Linked DNA regions of Notamacropus eugenii. The protein of the gene in region 1 purifies or fractionates together with the protein of each later gene. This does not show direct contact. Links are inferred from orthologs where the notes say so. Each region holds a gene or a part of one and is shown in the gene's direction. Other genes may lie near its edges.

The links.
Region 2: the proteins of SWSAP1 (region 1) and SPIDR purify together in Homo sapiens (co-immunoprecipitation; 3 studies listed by BioGRID and IntAct, with this or other methods). This does not show direct contact. The link is inferred for Notamacropus eugenii from reciprocal best matches to the Homo sapiens genes SWSAP1 and SPIDR.

Annotation. Positions count from the first base shown.
Region 1 is NC_092875.1:78,507,607-78,520,005, reverse strand, and holds the start of SWSAP1 (ATPase SWSAP1), read left to right. Parts: upstream 1-6,873; 5' UTR 6,874-6,908; coding exon 6,909-7,157; intron 7,158-12,399. UniProt on the Homo sapiens protein: ATPase which is preferentially stimulated by single-stranded DNA and is involved in homologous recombination repair (HRR). Has a DNA-binding activity which is independent of its ATPase activity.
Region 2 is NC_092875.1:263,090,414-263,103,410, forward strand, and holds the start of SPIDR (DNA repair-scaffolding protein), read left to right. Parts: upstream 1-7,792; 5' UTR 7,793-7,940; coding exon 7,941-7,988; intron 7,989-8,252; exon of another isoform or gene 8,253-8,408; intron 8,409-12,997. UniProt on the Homo sapiens protein: Plays a role in DNA double-strand break (DBS) repair via homologous recombination (HR).

The DNA of each region.
Region 1 (12,399 bases):
CAGCCCCTTGAAACTTCCATGAAAGGTCTTAGGAAGTCCCCTCCACACCTCCCATACCCAGAGATTCTCCACAGTTTCAGCCACATTTGGCAGTCAGAGTCAGTCAGGAAGAACAAATACCAGAAGAATGACCAAAACTAAAATCTGCAAAGCACTGTTTTCTTTCTTTAAAAAAAAAAAATGCCTTGCCATATGCTGTTGGTGGAACTGTGGATTGGTTCAATTACTCTGAAAAGCAATTTAGAATTATGCCACAAAAAGAGAGGGACTATTGACTGTGGAACTGCACTTCTAGGCATATACCACAAAGAGATCAGTGACAAAAAAAAGGTTCTACAGACACCAAAATAGTCTAAAACACAGAGCAAAGAACTGGAAGCAAAAGTTATATATGTCCATTGGGAAATAGCTAAACAAAATGTAGTACATGAACATAATGGAGCTGTAAGAAACAAGGCATGTGAAGAATTCAGAAAAGTATGAGAAGATTTATGTAAACTGACAGAATGAAGTAAGAACCCAGAAAACAAGACACAAAAACTGCAACAGTAAAATTGGAAAGAAAAAAACCCCAAATATTGCATAATTATAATATCCAAGCTTGAACCAAAGAAGAATGGAAAACATTTCCCTTCTTTGCAGAAATGAATGACTGTAGGCATGTAACATTTCATATGTAATGGGGGACTAGGCAATAAGCTCCCAGTCTTTAAAGAATATATAATATAAGGGCAGTTAGGTGGCGTAGCGAATAGGTCACCAACCCTGGAGTCAGGAGGACCTGGGTTCAAATGTGGCCCCAGACACGTGACACTTGTTACCTATGTAACCTTGGGCAAGTCACTTAGCCCCCACTGCTTTGCCTTCCTCCCTCTAGGAAAAAAATACTTAAAAAAAAGAATACACAATAAACTCTGCCTAATATTAACCCACATGGAGACTTGGGAAGCCTACTCTCTGAACCAAGTAATGGAGGGACCCTTTTCTTTCCCATTTCAGAGCACACATTAGTTCTGTTCTGTTTCCTGTTGGTTTCCGTGTGATCATGGACAGACTTCTAACTGGGTCATGAAGCTTAACTAAGTGTGCATATGCAAGTTTTGAGCAAAGGAACTCTCATTTCCTTCCCAGATGGCTTTTGAGTGAGGAGGAAGAAATGCTATGGGCCTCTGGGTGGCTGGAGGAGGGGCAGTAGCAGTCACCTGCTATGGCAGATTTCTCTCCCCACCAGACCAACTGCATAGCCATGAACACACAATACCTCCATCTCTTCGATCACTTGTGTTTATTCTTTCCTATTCTAGAAATAATGTACCCTATCCTGGTTGTAAATGACTATTTAGAAACAACAGTGATCAGGTTACATTTCTGTGAGCATCAAAATGTTGGAAAAACCAGCAAAGGCCCCCTCAATGACAGGAACCAGGAGTAGACACATCTCTCTCTGGTGAGGAATACCCTGAAAAAAAGTCCTGCTAGACCCAGAAACTAAAGGGATGCACATCAACTGGGGAATGGTCAAACAAATTATGGGATATTGCTGTGCCATAAGAAATGATGAGATGGACAGTCTCAGTGGAAACTGGGAAGCCTTTTAGGAACTGATGTGAACACAACTAGAAGAGCAGTTATACAATGCCAGTAGCACTAGAGAAAAATGTCTTTGAATGACTTGAACACTCTGATCTATGCAGTTATAAACCATGAGTCCAGAAGACGAAGATGAAACACACCAACTACCTCCTGCCAGACAGGAAACATATTTGCCAGGCATGGCCAATGTGGGAAGCTATTTTGCTGGTCTATCCATATCTGTTATGAGGATTTTCTTTCTCAAAATTGTTCAATGTGGGGGCCCCCAAGGAAAATATTTGTACAAAATAAATATTGTTTTTATTTTTTTGTATAGCAATGGAAAGCTTCGATCTATTTTTAATTAATTTATTTTTAGTTTTTAACATGAACTTAAATAAATTTAAAATTTTCTCCGCCTCCCTCTCCTCGCCCCTTCCCAACACAGCATACATTCTGATATAGACTCTCTATATATATTCTTATTAAACATATTTTCAGATTAGTCATGTTGATTAGAAGAATGAGAATGAATGGAAGGAATTATGAAAAAGAAAAAACAAAACAAAACAAAAAAAGAGAGGAAATAGTATGCTTCAATCTGTATTCAGACTTCACAGTTCTTTCTCTGGAAATGGATAGCATTTTTCATCATGAGTCTTTTGGAGTTACTTTAGGTCCTTGCATTGCTTGAGAAGAGCTAAGTCTATCAAAGTCAATCACTGCACACTGTGGCTGTTACTGCGTACAATGTTCTCCTGGTCCTGCTCATTTCACTAAGCATCAGTTCATATAAGTCTTTTTTAGTTTTTCTGAAGTCTGCCTATTCATTATTTCTTACAGCACAATATATTCCATTACGTTCATATATCATAACTTGTTCAATCATTCCCTAAGTGATGGGCATCCCCTTAATTTCCAGTTCTTGGCCACCACAAACATAGCTGCTATAAATATTTTTGTAGATGAATAAATACTTTAAAAAGTGAAAAGTCCTACTAGATCAACATGACCTCTGACAACTGCCATTTATGGTAATGCCTACCTCAAGGCGATTCAGTTCTATATTTCCATCTCTCTTGGATGCCTGAAGATCTAGGGGGTAAAAATAGGAAGGAAAACAGCTACAGTCCCAAGTAGAAAGCTGCCTCACATATGCACTAAACACTGAATAATTTTAGTGGGGAAGGCCATAACAAGTGTGTGAGAGGAGTGGGAGGAATCAAGACAGACTTCTAGTAGCAGGAGGCACTTGAGCAGAAATTTGAAAGAAACCAGAGATTCCAGAGGTTGGGGTGTGAGGGGAGCGCATTCCAGGCACCAGGGGACAGCTTGTACAAAGCCACAGTTGCTAGAGATGGAATGTTTTGCATGACAAAAAGCACGTAAGTCAGTTTGGCTGGAATGTAGAGTGTGTGAGGTGTAGTAAGGTGAAATTAGCCTGGAGATAAAGATTATGAAGAGTTTTAAATGCCAACCAGAAGAGTGTGTATTTTCTTAGAGGTAGTAAGAAGCGTCTGAATCTTCTTGAATAGGAGAGTGACATGTTCATGTCACTAGGAATATTCATTGAGAAGTTGTTTAGAGGTTTGGGCTGGAAAGGAGAGATAATAGAGAGATCAGTTAGGAGGATACTTCAATAATCTAGGCCAAAGGTGATGAAGACCTGAATTGGGGGCGAGGGGTGGCTGAGATTTTGTGGAAACTGACTAGAAATGGAGATGTAAGGGAGAGTAAAGAACTGGAAATGATTCTGAAACTTTAGTCACCTGGGTGATTAGAAGGAATGAATGCATGAATGAATGAAGGAATGAAGTGCTGATTATGTGCAGAGCACTGAACTAAATGTGAGGAATACAAATGTCGCAGCGTTTGCTCTCAAAGACCGCACCTTCTAAATGGGAGAGATGTACACACGGAAGGTTTTAGCTGTAAGTTGGTGTACTAGCAAGCACCCAAGCATACCCAGGATGGCCTGCTAGCACAGGTTCTTTGATCTGCTTTTCTGAAAGAAAGATAACTTCAGAGGGGGTCAACGATCTTACTTTAATTACAGATAAGTAGAAAATACAAGCAGAGAAATGAACACAGAGATTTAACAGACAGGGCTCCAACTGTCTGAACAAAGTAATACAAGTACCTACATATGCCATCAGAGCAGGAGAGCACAAACATTTGAGTAGTGGGGATGGGGGATGGGGAGGAGACTCTTAACAAATCAGAGTCCTGTCCAGGGAATCAAAAGATCCTTCTCATAAGCAAACTCCCAAAGCAAAATCTCAACTCAGAATATATACATATATACACAGACACTTTTGGCTAATAGGCTCAGAACCAGAAGGCATCACAACCCTTGTGACTCAATGCCTAATTAGCTTAGTACCAAAAGGTGTGAAAGCCTTCCTGAAAACAAGCCTCCCCTAAGCAAGCTCTTCCTTAGGCAAGTTCCTCCCCCAGTGGGCTCTATGTGACTCAAGTTTATCACAGCTGGCTGGAGCTCAAAGCTGTAAGATTTCCCTGATTACATAGGTCTATTAATGGATGGGGAAGATCTTCACATTCCATTAACATTACAGTTGGATAGAAAGGTCTATGTCCTTAGGATACAGCAGCAAAGCAGGTGGTAATCACTCTTTTTAAATGTCATTTCCAGTGATAAAATCATATCAGATTCTGATATTGAACCATCTGATAGTACCAAAGACTTGGGTGACAAGAACTTTCTTTTCTGTGTCTTCTGTGGGTAGTACCCACGTATCCCAAGATAATGACTAAAAGCCCTTGCCTGGAAGAATTGCCATTCCTAAAGCTCTGGGATTCAGGGTTCTGGGCTGTTTCCATCAGGATTGGAGGGGATATGGTGGTTACGGTAGAGGTAGTTTGCCCCACCTGGCATATGCTGCCTCTTATCTCTCCCCAAGGGTGCACTGCTACTTCAGCTAGACTGGCTTGCTTGCCCAGTGAGTGACAATTGGTTGACAATTAATAAGGATGCCTGGCTCCTTCTCCACAGGAGTTGCCTCCCCAAATGATGGCTGGTCTGAAAGCAGACCTAATAATCAGGAAGGGTGGTGCCTCTCCCAGGGTTCCTGATCTTCCAGCTGACTGGAAGGATGGTCATACCCTTGGGAGAAATAGGGAAGTTAGGAAGAGGGGTGAGTTTGAAAGGGAAGATAATGAGCTCCATTTTAGACATGTTAAGTTTGAGATTTCTATGAAACATTTAGTTGCAGATGTCCAACATTCATCTGATGAATGTAAGCCTGGAACTCGAGAAATGAAGGCTTGATATATAGACCTGAGAGTCATCTACATAGAGATGATCGTTAAACCCATGGAAGTTGATGAACTTGCCAAAGGAGAAAGAGGGGAGAAAAAAAGAAGAGGGCCCAAGATATGGTCTTGAGGGTAAATGCACAATTAGGGGATGTGACATAGATCAACAACAGAGATTGAAAACAAACAATTACATAGTTAAAAGAAAAAGTTGTTGTTTTTCAGTCATGTCTGACTCTTCACGACCCCATCTGGGGTTTTCTTGGCAAAGATACTAGACTGGTTTGCCATTTCCTTCTTTCAGGTCATTTAATAGATGAGGAAATTGAGGCAAAGAGGGTTAAGTAACTTGCCCAAGGTTACACAACTAGTGTCAGATTTGAACTCATTAAAATGAGTCTTCCTAACTCCAGGCTCAGTGTTCTATCCACTTCACCCTAAAAAAGGAGAATGGGATCACAAAAATCCAGGAGAGAGAGAATCCTGGAGGACAAAACTGCTAACAGCATCAAACATAGCAGAGAAGTCAAGAGGAATGAGGACTGAGAAAAAAGTTAATACGTTGGCAATTAAGAAAACATTGGTTACCTTGGAGAGAGCAATTTCCACTGAATGATGCTGTTGGAAGTGGTTGAGAGGAAAGTGGGGAAAAGTAACATTGCTTTTCCTAGGAGTTTCACTATGAAAAGGAGACATATACATGAGATTCTTGGACTGTTTTTTGGAGTGAATACCTGATTAGCCCACCAAGCGTCCCTCTCCTTGAGCCACTGACCCTCAGTTCTTCTCTGGGTCTTACATAGTATAGCATCCCCAAAGGCTGAAGCATCTCCATTGACCCATAGCAGGTATTAGACTGCTCTTCACATACCAACCAAATTACATGCTAGCACTGGCTAAAGACTAGAAATTTAACCAGGGGATGACACGGAATACTGCTCAAAATGATTAAAAAGCAAGAAATCTCTCATTCTAGTGTGCCTGTTTTACAACTAGAATCTTCTCTCTGCCCTGCCCCCCACCCTCCACCCCCATGTTCACATGGCATAAGCCAGGGGTGGGGAACCTGCAGCCTCAACAAGGTTCTGGATATACATTCAACATACTGTGGCTACATCGCTTATTTTTTAAAAGTGAAAAGAAAAATGTGTTTCCTACATGGTGACTTCTGCTTCCAGCAATCTCCCCAAACTTCTCCTTCTTGTCTTTCCCGTTTCTTTGTGTACAGTCAGGGATTCCTGAACTTCACTGGCCCAAAACCATAGAAAGGGAGTAAGGTGGGAGAGGCATGTGTTTGTATAAACAAGAGATGCCTCCCTCCTGGCTCGCCACTCTGTCCTGGGATCTCAGGGAAGCAAAGGCTTCAGGTACTTGCAGCCGTCTGTCTTTTTTACCCTTTGGTCTAAGCTTCTGCTGACAGGAACTTTAGTGATATGAGATACTTGTTGAATAAAGCTCCTTGTGCATAGGAATCTTTTCCGTGTTTGTCCTCCTATCTCCAGGGCCCTAACACAGCGCTTTCGAGGAGCAGGTACTTAGTAAATTCTTAACTGAGAAACAAACTGGGAGATGTGGTAGAGAGAAAAGATGGAGATTAAATGGACTGCAGAATGCAAGATCAATCAATCAACATTTACTAACCATCTACTACGTGCTAGGCACTGTGCTAGGGATACATACAGGGGCAAAAGAGTCCCTGCCCTCAGACAACATGCAGATACATACAAAGCAAGTTATATGCAGGAAAAATGGGAATATTTAACTGAGGAAAGGCACTGGAGAAGAGACAAAGGAAGGAAAAAGAAAAAGAAGACGTGAGGCTCGGTGATCTAGGAGGGCGCAGTAGGGGGTGCCCTGGAAGACCTTGCCCCCCATTGCAGTCGAGCCTGGGAAGACCACGTGGAGGGACCGCCCATTGGGAGCGTTCGCCCGGCCCCTCCGGCGAGCTACCGAAGTGAACTGAGCCTAGCCAATGGACCGTTTTCAAGGGGGAGGGATTAGCGCAGAGCAGCGCTCTGATTGGCCGCGTGTGCAGCGCAGAGGGAGGGCTGAGAGCGGGCATGGAGGCTCTGAGGGCGCTGCTGAGTCCGGGCGCAGGGGTCGGCGGAGAAGGTTGCGCCGCTGGGAAGGGTACCGGCCTTCTGCTGCTCGGGGAGCCGGGCTCCGGCAAGACGGCGTTGCTGTTCGCGGCTGCCCTGGTGGCAGCGGGGGAGGGTCGGGGCCCAGTGCTGTTTGTGGCTCGCAAGGCCCTCCAGAGCCTCCCTCCAGGATGGAAGGCCGGAGCTGCTAGGGACCCGCTGAGGCTCCAGGTAACTGATAGGCGGAGCTCCAGGGGGCTGGGCCATCTGCGGGGCGGGACTCTGGAGGGGGAGGAGCTCTGTGGTGAGGAGGCGGAGCCATCTGTGGAGCGGAGCTCTGGAAGGGGCGGGGCTCTGGGATGGAGTCACCCACCATCTCTTAAGTGCCCAGGGTGTGTCAGGCGCGGTGCTAGTTGTTGTGGATACAAAAACAGAAAAACCCAGCCCTTGCCTTCCAAGAGAGGCAGATCCCTACGTAACACATGCAGGACAAACACAAAAGAAATACCAGGCAGGTGGTGGGCGCTGAGACTTGTAGGAGTATGTAGGCTGGAGATGAGTCTCGATGAAGGTCCGGGAATCTCCGAGGCAGAGATGCGGAGCAAGTGCACTCCATACATGGAGGTGCAGCCATTGCAAAGACACAGGGACACATTGTGTGAGCAGCAGCAGGAGGAGCCTGGTTGGATGGGAACAGTGTATAGTGGGGCTGGAAAAATAGGTTGGGACTAGGTTGTGAAGGGCCGAACAGAGCAGTTTGTGTTTTTATTCTAGAGGCAATAAGGAGCCACTGGATTTTAATGAGTTGGGGAATAATAATATGGGCGTTTGGCAACTTTGTGGGGGACAGATTTAAAGTGGGGAGGGACTTGAAGCCTCAAACGCAGTCAGAAAAGGAGCAGACACTGGTCATAGTCTCCCTACTTAATTCTCCCCCTGCCCTGAGGCTGGCAGATTGCTACCTCCTGCTCCACTAATCCCTATGTTTCATAGTTTCTACCTGCCTTGGGGGAAATCTCTTTCCCCTGGTGTCCCCCTGAATGCTCATCCCTATACAACTCAGCCCAATTTCTTTCCCTCCTCTGCTTTTCCCTTCCACTGTGCTCTGTAGAATGTCCACTCATTTTGTTAACAAACTCCTCCTCTTTCCCTCCTATTCTTTCTACCTTCAGGTAGTAACTCAAGCCTTGCTTTATCCTGAGGGCAGCATATGTCTTGTGACCATCTCCAGTCTTGGCCAATGTCTCATGCCTCTTGATACTCGGGGCCAGGAGTCATGCACTTTGAGACTCTCTCTCTGCACCAGTTCTCAGCGACCTTTCCATTTTAAATTTCCATCATCCGGACGCTATCCAGGTGTTTGTTGCTGTTATGTGCTGAGCTCCAGATCACGTTTTTTCCTTCCTCCAGGAGTTGAGGACTTGGCTCATGGTTCATGCCAACAAACTTTATAATGTCCTGGTCTCCCAGTTCATTAATCTTTTCAACTCCCATCAACTCTGACTGTACTCTGTCAAACTATAGGGGTGCTGACAACTTAGATTTCACCCTCACCTAAAACTTTTCCGTTTCCATGATTTTGGTGTATTGGAAAGATTGCTGAATTTGGAGTTAAGGGACATAGGTACTTCTGTACCTGACACTGGTACTTCTCTGTTACCTTTAACAAACAAATCACTTCATAACTCTGGACCTCAATTTCCCCATGTAAAAAATGAGGTTAGATGAGATGATCCATTTGCTCTAAAATCTGCAATCCTTTGATTTTAAGGACTTGATAACCTCTAAGGTCCCTCCCAACCTATTCTTCCTTCCTACCCTGCTCTGTACCTCTTCACCCCACCCTACGTCCATCTTGTCTACTCTGATCTGATCTCGCTCTTCCCTTCTCGCTTTTCAGCCATTTCATTTGTCTTCAACCTAAGCTTTATTTTGGAGATTTGCCTGGAGTAAAACTCTGGGATAGGGGCAAAACAAGCCAGAAAGATAAGATACCACTTTGGGGTTAGACTTTCCCCCGAAGGATGTCACCCAGGCCTTGCGACCTAGGGATTTTAGGGGAGGGTTCTGGTCTGTGGTCACACTTGAGAGCTCAGCTCAAGAGCTGCGTCTTCCTGAGCCTTCCGTCAAATTAAAAAGTTACCTTGTAATTATCTTATGTTTTGTATTGATTTCTCTATATCTGTTTTTTTCCTCCTAGTAGCATGTAAAGATATTAAAGATAGGGACTCTAGTTTTAGTCTCTGTACCCCTATCCTCTAGCACAGTACCTGATTGGTTGATCTTTGATCTTTCCTTATCCACTGACTTCTTCCCTGCAGTCTATAGATAGGCCAGTATCTCCTCTATCCTTAAAAAACCTTCTCATGACCCTGCCATCTGCTCAAATTATTATCCTCTATCTATATTCCCTTTGACTTGATCAAACAGACTCCTAGAAAGGGCATTCTGCACCAGAGGTGTCAAATTCATGGCCTACAAACCTCCCCAGTGGGGGCTGAACATTGATTAAAATGTAGCTGGCAAAGGTTTAACAAAATAAAGCTTAAAATACAACATAATGTGAATTTGTGGTTTTCCAAGTTGACATGCAGTGTTGAGTTTAACCCTGCTAGTCTACAGCCCTTGCCTTCATTTCTTTCCCCGATTTCCAACACCTCCTGGCCTAGTTTTCAGCCCAAACACTTGAATGACACTGCTCTCCCAAAAATGTGATGAACCCTTTTTTTCTTAAGAAAAAAATATTCTGAATGTAACAAACACCAAACAAAATGGGTGTGTCTGTTCTTGTATTTGAACTCAATTTGAGTTCAATTTGAATTTGAACTCAGGTCTTCCTGACTTCAGGCCCAACACTGTCCACTTCCACACATAATGATATACTTGCAAAGTTGATTTTTTTTTAACCCAAGACTCCATGTTCATATCTATCAAATTTCATCATATTAAGATTTAGCTCAACAGTCTAGCTAGTTGAATCTTTTTGGATCCCAACTTTGTCATTCAATGCCTTAACTATCGCTCCTGGCCTTGTATCCTGTGTAAATTCAGTAAGAATTTACTGAATTGCCTTTATCCAAATCATTGATTAAAAAGTTAAATAGCACATATTCCTGGGTTACTTAGAAGAAACCTTGACCCTCTACTTAACCTGTTCTACCAAACAATGCCCTCTAACCTTGAGTCACTTTCATGCTGACTTTCTCAACTGACCCATCCTCCCTCAAGACCATTCTCACCATCTGCCTTCTCAGGTCGGATTGGGATTGCCGAGCCAATGAATGCTGACACTATCTTTGCTGGGTCCTCCAGAGATCTGTATTCTCTAACTTCAGCTGGATCCTCCCTGCTGCATGACAGTCAGTCCTTTTAGACTGACCACATTCCCCATGGAGGCTGGTCCAGACTTCTTTCAGCAAGTCCCTAGCCCTATCCACATGATCTGGCCTCCCTCTTTGATTAATGTCACCTATTGTTCCTCCACACCTGGAAACCTTTTTCTGTCTCCCCAACATCTGTTCTTTGTGTTTCAGTCACAGAAAGATGTGACCCTTTCCTTGTTATGACTGACCAGTCCCTCTCCTTGTACCTTTGATTACATCCCCCACCATCTTTGTTGAAAGAGGAGCCTTCTCTTTCTTTCACTGTCAGCCTCTCCCTATCATACCTACAGTCATGCTCAGGTCACCCTTAGCCTTAAACGTCCTTCTTGACCCTCCCATCCCCTTGAGAGATTATTTCTCTGCTCCTTCACTGCTGAACTCCTAGAAAGAATCATGTACATTCACTTCATTTCCTTACTCCCCATTTACTCCTCAACCCCTCATAACCTTGGCTTCTAACTATTCTACTTGAGAAACCTTCTCTCTTGAAGGTGACAGGTCAAATCTTAACAGGTCAATGGCATGGTCTGTTCTCAGCCCTCGCCCTCCCTGACCTTTCTATAACAATGGACATTATTTTCCACCCCTCCCACCAGTGTGTTCTCATGGTCACTCTCGTGACTCTGCTGCTCCGTCTTTTTTCCTGCTCATTTATCTCCTCCCCTCCTCCCCCCCTTCCCTCCCCCAGTACTGGCTCCCCTCTGGCTCCCCTTTCCTTCTCCCTTGACAGACATCTGTGCCCATAAGTTTAATGATTGTTTCTGTGTAGAAGGCCCTCAAATCGAGATATCCTAATCTCTGGATTCACTCCCACATCCCCAACTGCCTTCAGGACACGTCTATCTGAACATCCACGAATGTTTCAGGCTCAGCCTGTCCTAAACGGACTTCATTATCTCCTCCATAAACCTGCCCCACCTCCCAATTTCCCTGCTTCAGTTGCTGCCAGCACCACCATCCTTTCCAGTCACCTTTTCCCAAAACCTTGGAGTCACCTTTGGCCCTTCCTTCTCCTGCAGCCAGTCAGTTACTAAATCCTGTCAGTGTGACTCTCGAATCCATCCCCTTCCCTCCACTCACAGTCACCACCCCAGTGCAACCTCTGCCCCCATATCCCTTCTCACCTGGAATATTGCCCCTGGATTGTGCACCGTGGCCAAAGTCATCTTCTTTGTCAATTCACTGCTCTCTCTGAAGGAGAGAAGCCTTGGCCAGGCTTCAAATGACCCTTCTAGCCATGTGTGATATTGGTCTTATCTGCTTACACCCCTCCCCCATCACAAAGTAGACCACTGACTGCCCATTCCTCTGACTGGACAGGCTGTTGCCCAAGATCTGGACATTTTTGTGGTCTAGCCACCTTTCCTGAAAGGTATCTCCCCCTCATCTTCCCTGGGGCCTTTCTCCATTGTCCTAGAGTAGCCCACCCCCACTCTTCACCTCCAAAGTGGAAGTTACAAAATGTTAACTTCTCTCCAACTTTCTGTCTTTTTTCCTCTTCCCATTCTAAGTTGAATTAGACACCATCTGTGGACAGGTCTCAGTGTCCCAAGTAGAATGTAAGCCCTCTTCAGGCACTCCCTGCCATTTTTTTCTTTGTATCCTCAGTGCCTACTCCCATGATTTGCACATAGTAGGTGCTTAACTAATGTTGTGGAATTGAATTGATTGAATGAAATATACATATGATGACTAATATGTGTGTATGGTAAAGGATGGCATCCAGGATGAGACCAGCTCAACTTGTGAGCATATAGGACATATCCTTGTGGCTGGAGGCAAGGAATTGGGCAGGGTTTTGTGATCTCTGCCATGAAGAATGGGTAGGGTTCGGATTAGTTTGAGGAAAGATGAAAGAAGTTTCTCGTTGAAGGCCTAGGATGAGTCTGAATTTGTGGGATGTGTGAGGTGACTAGGCTGAAAGGGAGGGGAGGACAGGTTAATTATTGCAGGGCTTTGAATGCCAAGTCAAGCAGTTTGAGCTTGGCTCGTTAGGAGATCAGGGGTCATTGGAAGCTCTGTAGTCCGAACTCCCTTGCAGTTTGGACATTTGGGATTTTTTTCTCTCTGGCTTACTCCAGTTATTTTCT
Region 2 (12,997 bases), about 180 Mb from region 1:
GTTTTAGTCTCATTTGTCTAAAGGCCCTGAAAAACCTCACCTTGAAAACTCCTTGTTTTTTTTTTTCCCATGTGAACTGGCTCTCACCATGCCCAAGTCTATTCTACTTCCCACTCTTAATTCTATCAGTCCAAATCTCCAGTTTACTGGCCACTCCCATCAAGACCATTCCTGGAGCTCCCAGACCACCTGGGGCCACTCCTTTTTTTTTTTTTTTTGTAAGGGATTCCTTTCCCTGAATCCTTCTGTAAATAAAACACAATTACAGTTAACTTTAAATCCCAATCTTGTTCTATGGAACAATGATACAACATCTATTTATTCCCATTAGATTTAGAAAGAATGTTCCCAAGGATTTTATTTCCATCTCAGATCTTAAATTTGCCCTAAAAAGCCAATCACTGAAGATCATTTCTTATACATTTTCAAATTCTCACCAAAGCAAGTTCTATATACAATCTCCTCAGCTTCTGGGGCTGCACTTATTACTAGCCTGAGGACTGCTTCTTTTCCCACATATACACACAGTGTACCAGCTTTAGGTTTTAGCATTAGAATTACAAATGGCAAACATAATTTTTCATAAGTGATAACAAATTGTTTTAGCTATGAACCCGGACAATAAATTTCAGATGACATCAACTGCATTTTCATATCCTATTAGAGAAATTAAATTCTTCCCACTTTTGTAACTTACAAATACAAATTGGATAGGTAGGCCTTCCAAAAACCATACAAAAGATTTTACAAAGTATTTCTTAATACAACAAATATTTCCTCTCTTACGAACAGTTTACAATTTATCACAATCCCCTTGAAAGTAACTGACAGAAATCACAAGAAAAGACCTAAACCCAAAGCCTTTTCACATTTGTCCATAAACTTTCTTTTACCAGCATAACTTTAGAGTAAATGCTTGATTCATGGCAAAAACAATTTTAGCTAAAATTTCCTTTTCAACAGCAGAAATAAACTTTTAACATAATACATCCTCAGATGGAACAGGCTTGAAAATCACACCTATATATATATATATATATATATATACATGTACATTTTTAAAGCGTTCTGATTTTCTTAATAAGAATGCTACAACAAGGAAACTCTTACAAAAAAAATTCATAACAGCTCTTTTTAACCAATTCATTAATTAACTTAACAATGTAATTCCTAATACAATATTTAGATGGATTACCTAAAAATTTAAACTTAATTTAAGTTTACTTACAACTTAAAAGAAGCCATTAACCTATTCAGCTCTTTTCATAACCAAATATAAGTTTCAAATTATCAAATTTCTATCATATCCTTTTAAAACCCCAATCTATATGTAATAAATTACAAATTTAAAATCGTGTAACAATTACATTAGATTAACGTTGCATCTAACAAATACCTATCCTTTTGTTACTGGATCAAACATTTTTGGCAGAAATGCCACTGGGTGTCTCTGCCCTCCTCTTATTTGTGTCAGGATTCCCAAGGCCACCCCCTTCTGGCACTCTCACTCTGCAAAGAAAAAGAAAAACCTAAACTTATTATTATTTTTTTACTTTAAATACATTGTCTGGCATCAAATATATTGATCTAATTAAACCTAAATTCAAAACTCTCAGCTCTAAGTTGCTTACTTGAGATTTTTTTACTTTCTAATCTTCTGCTTACTTCCACTAAACTTTAATAAATTTTAACCTATCTTAAACATTAAATTAAGAATGACACATTTCACCTATTCACAATTCCAAATACAACCAGAATGAATTCAATTAACTTTCTATTATTTCCCATCACACTAAAATTTCTTCTTTTGGGTGAGGCAGGAAATGGTTAAATGCTTGCTAGCATGCCTCTTCGGTCTGAGGGAAAAAGATAAATTCCCTCCCTCCCTTTTGTACTTCTTTCAAGCCTTCTGATTACACAGGTGGTGCCAGACGTCTCTCTGAAAAGCCTGCTCCTCTCATCATCTCTACCTGCTTAAATTCTCTTGCCTTTCCCTCAAGCCCCTTTGAAACTACACATAACTTATTTCTTTCTGCTACTAACCTGACATTTCTCCTACATTCTTTTACTTGCTGTTACCAACCATATAAACTGAACAGTAAAATAATTTTTTTTTTCTCCCTTTCTCTCCCTCCTTGTCCCTCTGCCCCTCTGAAACTGCTCTGGAGGGGTTGAAGAAGAGGAGTAACAGGAATTTCAAGGATAGTTCAGCTCAGCCTTTCTGCTCCTGCTGGCTGGATGGCTAAATTTACAACCTTATCAGATAAAAAAAAAAAAACAAAACAGAGACACACAGACTTTCATTCACAAAGAAGTACCCACACAACATATACAGACAAAACATTTAATAGAATAGAATAGGTTTAAATTTTTGGCAAACCCAGTCCTCGGAGGAACCATATTTGGGCCAGATTGTGCCTCCTCCTCCGATGTCTTTTCACCCCATATGAAATAACAACACTTAATCATCTTCTTCTTGTCCTTTCCTCTATAATTTGGTAATTCGTGACAATTCTGTGTGTGAGATGGCTCAGGTCCCTACTTAAATTAATTACTCAGAGGGCTCTCAAAGTGATGACAGAAAGTTTATTTACTAGATTCTCGAGAATCGGGACGATCCTACACCAGTTCACCTGGAGTAGGAAAGACAAAGACAAAGAAAAGGCAGTGATTTATATAGACCCTAACACAAGTCCCTCCTCCCCCGCTGACCATTATCCTCATTAGTTGAGAATATGATCTTACATTCTAGACATGAAATCTAACCAATCCCTTTTGAAATGAAGACATCGAGGAATTATGTTTTATCCAATCATTGAGACCCTAATACACTACACAGTTTTATATCCTTATATGGAACTATTCTATTCTAAAAATATTGCAACCTTGAGCCTCTAGATCTTACCTCACCCCTGGGAGAAGAATTACAATCTGAGAAGTCTTCACTAAACCTATCCCACTCACTGTAATTGATTTCCCAAAGGACTATTTACCGGTATTTCCTGACTCCATTCCAAAGCTTGGTGGGGTTTGGACTGCCTCTTCCCCATTTTTTTGGACGAGGGTTGTCACCAACACCTCCGAGTCTATGACTCAACGAATTTTGCCAGCTCTCATCAGGGGTCGCCCACCCACCAGCAGTCATCTGGCAAATGTTTTTTGGGGGGGCCCTTCACTCTGGGGTCTTGCAGTCCACTAATTTGGTTGGGAGTCATCACCTTCTCCCCGAGTCTATCTAAGACTCAACGAATTGACCCCCGGCCCCCCCACCCCCCCGCACTTACTGCCGGGTCATACCATACAAGTTGCCTGACTGCAACCTTCAACAGCAATCAGTTGGCATTTTCACACACTTCACAGGTTCAGAGTCTTTGGAGTCCTTATCTCTATTCTTTCTGTTCTCACTGAGTTCCTCTGCTTCAGGTCGTTATTTTGCAGAGAGGGAGGCCTGGCGACCCCATTTCAAGGACCATGGGGGGGTGGAATCTCCTCCACAGGTGCACCAGTCCTTGAAACTGAGGTGCCAGCCGTCTCTCTGAAAAGCCGCAGATCCCAGACGAGCCCCCAAACTGTGTGGGATGGCTCAGATCCCTACTTAAATCAATTACTCGGAGGCCTCTCAAAGTGGTGACAGAAAGTTTATTTATTAGATTTTCGAGAATTGGGCAATTCCTCTACCAGGAAAAAGCCGAAGACAAAGAAAAGGCAGTGATTTATATAGACCCTAATGCAAGTCCCACCCCCACCCCCCCTCCACTGACCATTATCCTCATTAGCTGAGAATATGATCTTACATTCTAGACACGAAATCTAACCAATCCCTTTTGAAATGAAGACATTGAAGAATTAGGTTAACTTTATCCAATCATTGAGATCCTATTGTACTACACAGTTTTATATCCTTATATGGAATTATTCTGTTCTAAAAATATAGTAATCTTGAGCCTCTCAGTCTTACCTCACCCCTGGGAGAAGAATTACAATCTGAGAAGTCTTCACTAAACCTATTCCACTCATTTCCTTTTAGAAAGAAATATTTTAATAGTCTTTCTATCATTATTTTATTGTTGTCCTTGGTGGCTACATTTGTTAACCTTTCTTGTATTTCTGTTTCTGGGATGTTTAAAAAGAAAATAATTTGTTCACATCTGGTTTTCTTTCTAGTAGTGCTTCAAATATCTCTTTTTAAAATTGGATATCTATCTTTTTTCCATTAATGTTTAGACCCAGAATTGCAGGGTGTCACCTTTGGTTGCATTTTGAGATTCTTTGCTTTTTGGAACACATTATTGCATTCCCCACCTAGGTTTCTGATGGGTGCAGAATAGTTTTATATTATTTAAATTTCCTTCTCTTTATATTTGAAAGTCTCCTGATTGTTTACAAAATTTGTTGTTTTGTAAGTGAAACTGTTAAATTTGATTATTTTACGTATTGTAATTTTTTGCACAGGTTTTTTTTCTCTCTTGGAGGCAATTTGTGGATTATTTTGATTAATACTTTATTTTCTGTGTTCAGAGTTCTGGGCAGATTTCTTAGGGTTTTTTTTTCTTGCATTATGGTGTTCAGGTTGTCCTGTTCTAAGAGACTTTTAATACTTAAGTTGTCTCTCTGCATTCCATCTTTGAGATCAATATGTAGATTATGCTTTCATTTAACATCATTTTTTGCTTTGACTCTTCCAGATTGCCTTTTATTTCTGTGTATTTCCATTCTCCATTAGATATTCTCTCTTTTGTTTCTTGGGTTAGCCTTGCCACTATAAAGTTCTTTCTTGACAATTATTTTGCCTGTGCAGACCATAAATTCTGCTTTCACAATTCTTTTTTCTCTTTTATGTCATTCTGGAACATTCTGCTGTGGTTCCATACTGTCTTAGGATTTTTTGCCTTATTAGGTTTTGATTTTTTTTCCCTTTGTCTTTCAATATTTATTCATAGATGTCTGGACTCTATGTTAGCTGATATTGAGGCCATATTCACTGCTGTTATTAATATGTTTCCTGATGGCTTATCTGTATACATTCAAGGTATTTAATTCAGTTTTCTTCCACTAGAGATCGCTGATAATTTCAGTCTTTTTTCCTTCCATTACTCACTTTCTGACTCCCTACCCTTTGACAACTTGACCTCTAAATTGTCTCCGCCTTCCCTTGTGCAGGGCAATTCAATTCACCAAAAATTTCTTCCCCAAGTGACTTCTAGGATGGGGTATAGTGAGGTAGACCTCACCTCAGCTGTAGGCTGAGCTTTTTACTTTGGGCTTAATGGAGTGCCACTTAGCCACACATACCATTTCCTTCTGGTCCTCAGTTCTTAGGCTGAACTGTTGTAGCACTGCTGAGTTGCTATACCAGAATGAGTGCAAGCTTCTGCCTTATGGTATTTCCTGTGCCTAAAAAGAATGGGATAGAGTTGAGTTCTGCTGCAAGGCCAAGGGTTGGCTTGTGCAGTCCTGCCAGGGGTGGGGTTGGGTGTGTGTGTGTGTGTGTGTGTGTTGTGTGTGTGTGTGTGTGTGTTTAGGGTTTTAGAGTTTAAGCCTTCTCTGCTGTTAGCTCATCAAACTGTTACCTCTTTAGGGTTGGTGGTGTCCTAGACCTTGGAGACAACTGAAACTGATTTATCACTTGCTCATTAGTCCTACTTTGGAAAGATTCAAGTTCTGAGAACTGGAGAAAAAGTCTAATTGTCTAGCTTGTTCAAGTTATATAACCTAATCTGCAGATCTCCAATTTCAGTTTGCTGTTTTGATTTAGATAAAGGAGTTTATTTACTATTTGTGATAATATTTCATGTAACAAGTATTCATTGGGAAGAATCAAGCTGGTTAAGCAGCTTTGGTAACTTCAGGGTTAAACACTCTTAAAAGTGAAGCAACTTTCCTTCTTAACTCAGACTAGCACCCTTAGTCTGAGATATTTGAGGAGAACAAATAGCTGTAATTCTAGTTCAATACTCCTCCCAGAGACTGGAGGAAAGAACAGAGGCCTGTCCATTTACTCTCAGCTAGTGTGCTGGCTAAACAGGCACTGCCATTGACTCTCTTATACTTTGCAGTAGCGGGTCAGGTTTCTGATAATACCTGCCCTTGTTAACTATGACCATGTCTCACGTGGACATAGTTATCTTACATAAAATACTAAACTTTGAATCTTAGGAAGTTTCTTTGTTGTCACCATAATTATTTGAATGAGATCAGCTTAACAACCCATACTTGAAAAATAAATAGGATAGAAAAAAAATTAATATTGCTCATCTTTGGGCTTGTTGCCAGATAGCTTATAAATTTCTATATTTTGGTTGATCACTTCAAATGGACAATGAACCAGAAGTCATTATATTTTGGAGGATCTGATTTTAAATCCTTTAAATTTGACTTTAAACTAGTTGCTGAAACAATATCTCATCTCATCAAAACTAACATTCTCTTGGTGATGATACAGGGCTGCAAATCACAGTCTAAAAAGAAACAAAAGCCTGAGTGATTTAAATGGCAATGACCGGTCACATGGTGAATGCAAAGAGACTGCAATGTATGACCAGTTATGACTCGTGATAGAGTGGCATAAAACACATCATCAAGACATATGTGGCTGAAAAAGGAGGGAGGTTGTGGAAATAACTCAAGAGTGGTAGAAAGTCAGATTGGAAGTGAGAGAACCTGGGTTTAAATCCTGACTCCAGTACGTATGCATGACCCCGGGCAAATCCTGGTGCCTTGGTTTACTTATTTGTAAAATAAGAGGCTTGGATTGGATGGCTTCTAATCTTCCTTTCATCCTAAATCTATGCTCTGAGGATCTTCTGTATCAAGAGAGATGACAGATACACAGCTGAAAAGCCGGACTGGTACCTCTGAGCTTTTAAAGAACCAGAGACAGGCCCTGCAAGACTGGGTCCACTCTAGAGACAGGTGGTATGGAAGAACGTGAACACCAGAGATGGGAAAAGATTTTCTCCTAAATTGGTGGGGGGATTTATTCACATACTGCTAGGCAGATGTCTTACTGATAGCCCTGACTTAACCAACCCATTCTCGACTCTGGTTTTTCCTCAAATTTCAGGGTTTTTGGCAACATTTCAGAGGGTTGGATTTCTTATTTATTTGGCATTCACTAGCCCCTTGTTAAAACCCCTTCTCTACGGAGGGCAGCTAGGCGGTAGAGTGCCAAGAATGCCAGGCTGGTCTTCCCGAGCTCAGTCAGACCCTCGCCAGCTGTGTGACCCTGGGCCAGTCACTTCACCGTGTTTGCCTCAGTTTCCCCGTCTGTCCAATGAGCTGGGGAAAGAAATGACAAGCCGTGCCGGTGCCTGCCAGGAAACCCCCAACAGGGTCGCTGCTGAGCAACACTCTGGCCTCGGGTTTTTGCTCAGATCTGGGGTACCAGGCACTTGGTATTTTCCCTTTTTTATATTCCCAGTGCTTAGCACAGTGCCCATACACAGTAGGAGCTCATTAAATGCTTACTCACTATACGAATGAAGCCAAGGGGGAAAATGCCACATCGACTTTTCCAAAATTCTCCATATTTCCCATCTGGCCTCTTTCCAACTGGTTACACGGCCTCCCTCCGGACGAGGGTCGCGTTGGGATTCAAAGCCGAGTGAGGACCCTCTTCATTAGGAAACACCCCCAAGCCGGCCCTGGAGCCTTGGCGCATGCGCGCAGCCACACTCGGGCCCTCCGGAAGCCCCGCCCCTCTCCTCTAAAGTTCTCTATGGAATGACTTGTCTGGGAGAGAAGGCCCGCCCCACACCCTCATACGAGCCAATCAGAGGGAAGCGGCGCAGCGCGCCAAGCTAGAAAGGGACCGGCGTGGCTGGGCTGGTTCGTGCTCCGCCTTTTGCCTCTCGGTCTTCCGGGGAGTTCATCTCAAATTCCTTTTTCCCCTCAACCCTCCCCCCATCCCCAACCCCGGCGTGAGGGAGGCGCTCGGAGAGATGCCCCGTGGCGGTAGCAGCAGCCGCCTCCGCCGCAGCGACCGGAAGGTACGGTATGGGGGCTGGAGCAGGAGCGAGGGTGGCGCTCCAGCGGCGGGCGACGAACCTGCTGGGCCCGCTTCCAGCTAAGCGCTCCCTCCCTCCCCCTCGGTCATCCTCGCCCACTGAGCCAGAGTTGGCTACCAGTCAGGAGGCGGCACCCTCCGCGTGGCCTGTTCCGGACTCGCGGAGACTACCAGTCCCAGGCTGCCCCGCGGCGGGCGCTGCTCCTCCCAGTCCTCCCATTGGCTCCGCCGGTTGGGGGGGCGGGGAGAACAGTTCCTGCTGGGACTTGTAGCGTTCTGTCTGAGTCCTTAGGGCTGGGCCAGTGCGGGCCGAGGACCCGAGGCGGGAGCATGTGCCCTATTTTCCAGTTTGGAAAGATGTTTGTCTTGCTTCCCGACCAGTCCTGCAGATTCTCAGTCGTTTGTGAGTCCTTTCATTCGACCGTTATTCGTCCTTCACAGTAGCTGTGGCAAAGCTTTCCTACACTCCTAGATCTAGAACTTCCAGTTCAGGTCCTTCCAGGGACTTAGGACGTCAGTACGGACCGAACCCCCTTGTTTTACAGAAGCCCTTAGACCTGCGGGCCTCAAAGTGTGATCCTGGGGGGAGGGCTCCCCCAGACCTTTTCTGAAGGTTTGTGAGGTCAAAGCTCTTTTAAAAATGATTCCAAGACGTTGTAATTTCGAGTAAAATACCAATTGATCTGACCTCCGTAAACAGAAGCTCTTTAGCGTCTTCAATAATTTTTAAGTGTAAAGAGTCCCAGACCTTAGTGTGGGCTCTCCATGTACCCCCACACACGCTTGGATTGTTTTCATCTGGAGCTCCCGGGCGTCCCCAAAGAGGAATCCAAATTCTGCGTGCTTTTCTCCACATCAGAGGTTTTTCCCCTGGGATCCACACAGTTTCTCCCCCACTCCCATGGATAAATTCCAGGGGTTCATAGAATTTGGACTGGAAAAAAAAGGTACACCTTCATTTTGACTAGCTTCTGACATTTAGCATTTCCTTCAGTTTTTAAGAAACATTATTCTATGAAAGGGTCCATAGGCCCCATCAGATTGTCAGAGGGAAAAGGGAAAAGAACTCTTCTCTAAATAGGTTATTACCCAAGAATGGTCCATTAAAGTGGTGTTTTTAGCATCACCCGTTTTGTCGCCAGTGTGTAGGTTGCAGCCTAATCCTTTCAGTCATCTCATTCGTTCTGCATAGTGACTTTTCTAAAGCTTTTCTGTTCTCATAGTTTTTATAGGTTTAGAGCTAGAAGGGACTTCAGAGGTCACATAGCCCAAACCCCCCATCTTACAGAGGAAGAGGAACAGGAAATTGAAAGCCATAGAGCAACAATTTCTTGAAATGTGATCTAGGCATGAGACCTTTTCAGGAGATCTTGAAGATCATGTGAGGTCAAATTATAATATCCACTCCTTGGAGACGAAGGACCTTTACAGTTTAGCTGTGCCACTTATAACCAGGGTGACTTGGATAAAGCATTTTATCTCCTTGGGTCTCAGTTACTCTGTAACAGTCAACAAGCATTTGTTGTTGTTCAGTTGTGTCTGATTCTTCCTGACTCCATATGGGGTTTTATTGGTAAGGATACTGAAGTGGTTTGCCATTTCCTTCTCTATGGAGCTCATTTTATAGATGAGGAAACTGAGGCCAACAGGGTTAAATGACTTGCCTAGAGTAGCACAGGTATTACAGGTTGGAGCATTTTTTAAGTGCCCACTATGTGTCAAGTCCTGTAGCTTTCCTGCTACAAATAGAAAAGCAAAAATAGTCCCTGCTCTCAAGAAGCTAACATTCCAAGGAGGGAGACAGTATGCAAATAACTATTTACATACAACATATAGAGGGTAGGTAGTAATCTTAGAATTAGAGATTAGAGGAGGCCCAGAAAGGTCTGCAGAAAGTGGAAGTTGATCTGATGCTTGAAGGAAACCTTAAATGTGAAGTTGAGTAAATAGAGCTTTCCAGGCAGGGGGACAGCTAGTGAAAAGGCATGGAGTTCAGAGGAACAGGAAGTAAGCCAGTGTTGCTGGATGTTGGATTACATGGAGAGGAGTAAAGTGTAAGAAAATTGGAAAGGGTGGGAAGGGTCCTGTAAAATGAATAGGATGGACTATATTATATCAGGTCCCTTCCAACTTTTTGTTTATATTCCTATGATTTCCAGTGGTCTGTAGGACAGCTCTACTAGATTTTCCACTAAACTTAAACTAATTAAACTTGAATTCATCATATCGCTTCTGTTCTTACTTCCTTCCAAGCTCCTTTTGCTAATTCCTCTATTTTTGTTGAGGTTATATCTGCCTTTTTCCCAGTCACTCAGGTTTGATATCTTACCTTTTTCCTGACTGCACCCTTTTCCCCCTATCCAAACAATCACAAATTGTGTACATTTTCTCCTTTCCCCCATTACTGCCCCTCAAGTTTCTACTCATGACATACCTGGATAATAGCTTCTAAACTATTTTTCCTGTCTCCACTCTGTTCCATACTTTGCCATCCCATTGACATCCTCTAACTGTTTTGATCTTTTCAAGCCCATGTGGAATCCATTTTCCTAGGACTCAGACTTTAACAGGGCATTCAAAGCCCCACCACAGTTTGATCTTAACCTACCTTTCTAATATGTCTCCAATTATTCCCCCAACCAAAGTACTCTATATACCTTCTTTGCATTTCTTGTCTTTTCTGACGTTATTCTTTCCATCTAGAATATTCTCCTTTTTGCTCTCTGTTTTGAGTTCCTAACCTATCCTTTTAGGCCCATATCAGATTTCATTTGTTTCATGTCTTTATCACTTCAAACACCTGAATTTCTATAGCACTTTGTTTATATCATTTTCATCTCATTTGTCACGTTATAGTTGTATTTGAGTTCTTTATATACTCCCCTAACTATCAGGACAAATTAATACATCTTTTTATTTCTCCTGCCTCTTAGCACAGTACCCTATACATAATTGGAGCTTAGTAAATATTTTTTGGATGAAAGAAAAGGAAACTTTTTGGAAATTATAAGGCATCATGGAAAAAACGTTTTAGTAAGTATCAGGAGACTTCAATTTTAGTTTGAGTTGCTCTGTGACCTGACATTCCTGGGCATCTGTGACTCAGTGATAAAGAGGAGAAAGGTGATAGGGGCCTAAAATAAGGTGGTGAAATAGGGAGTACAGAGAATAGACTTAATAGGGAAAATTATGAATGTAAACAAGCACATTATGAGCGTGTACCTTTGCTCAACTAACACTTGGGGGAATGATGGTTATGGAAAAAAACTTTAAAAAATGTCTCTGTTGTACAAATGCAAGAGATTATTTGGATGAGAAGGAAACTATACATATTTTGTTCAGAGATTGAATCTGAGCTTAGTTTTGGAATTCATTGATAGCAATGTATATTAAGTTGTCATTATCTTAATTGTTTTTATTGTAAACTGTATCAACAAAAGCAAATAAGTTCAACAAAGAATAAATTAATGTTTAAATGATATTCCATACTATTTGTGTTTTTTTCTGAAAAGAAAACAGCTTTATAAATTTTAACAAGATAATAATTATATTTTATTTTTTCTATGTCCCCTCTAAATTTTTCTCTCTGTATGATTCTTAGATTTCCTTGCTGTTGTTTTATATATATCTGTAATCAATGTATGTAGTTTTATTTTATTGTCTAAAGTTTGTATTACTCATTATCATAGAATCCAAGCTAGAAGGAACCTTAAAGGTCACTAATTTCAGTATCCTCATTTTACAAATAAAAGGAAACAGATCTAGAGAGTTTCTGTGCCTTGTCTCATAGGTAGCACTATCGCTTGGATGTAATTCATCTCTCTGCAAATTCACCCAGGGGTGTTGTGACTCTCCAGTGAAGTAATGGAGGGAAAGCACTTTAAAAACCTTAGAGGGATATGATAAATGCAAATTGTTGCTGTTATTATCATTAACCTTCATTCACCAGAGCTCCAGTGTGCTCATAACTTCATTTCTTGAACTTTCTGCTGCTCTCCTGTCAAGCTCAAACGTTTCTAGAGCGATTGTGGGATGTACTGGCTAGTATTTACCAGTTGGGCTGTCTAGCTATCTACACTTTTAAGTTTAATCTGCATTATTAACACTGGACAATCAGTGAAACAAATCAAACCCTGATTTTTAGCTCATTTTTTATTTCTGAGGTATAAATGCTCACAATGAAATGGAAACTTGGCCAAGCTAGCTCCCCCACTTTTCTTACCCTACCATACTCATTTTTCTTTGTGTTCTTCATAATTATTTTTATGGCACAATTATATTACACTTATATATATACTTATATATTATATATATATATATATATATATATAATAAGTGTATATATATATATATATAAGTGTATATATATATATACACTTATATATTACACTTATATCAACATTTATTTGGCTGTTTTCTACTTGTTAGACATAGAGCTTGCTTATTGCTATTACTAACAAAAGTGCGATGAATATTTTTATACCAGTAGGTCTTCTTTTCACCTTTTAGTAACATCCTTAGAGCATATCTGTATCTACAAACATATCTCCATACATATACACACATGTATGTGTGTAGTTATATGTATATACATACATATGTGTATACACATATACATGTATGCACAGACACATATATTAGCGGGATTTCTTACCCCCACCCCTTAGCTAAGGACTTTGCTTTAGAGTATCCTGAAAAAAGAATTAGATATTTTACAGAGAAGTCTCTATATTGTTTAATTTATTTTCTTTTTAAGAACTGGATCTGTGATTTCACTAGTGCAGGGAACTTCTGGTGTGAAAACTTCTTCTGTCTGTCAGCAGCTCATCTGGAACTTAGTCTTAGGGAGTCACCTGGAGCATTAAGAAGTTAAGTGACTGGTCTTTGGTCAAGCAGCTATCATGGGAAGGATCTGAATCCAAAGACATGAGAGAATGTAATTTTAATATCCTCCTCTCATATCACTCAAACGTACTACCCCATTATCTCATT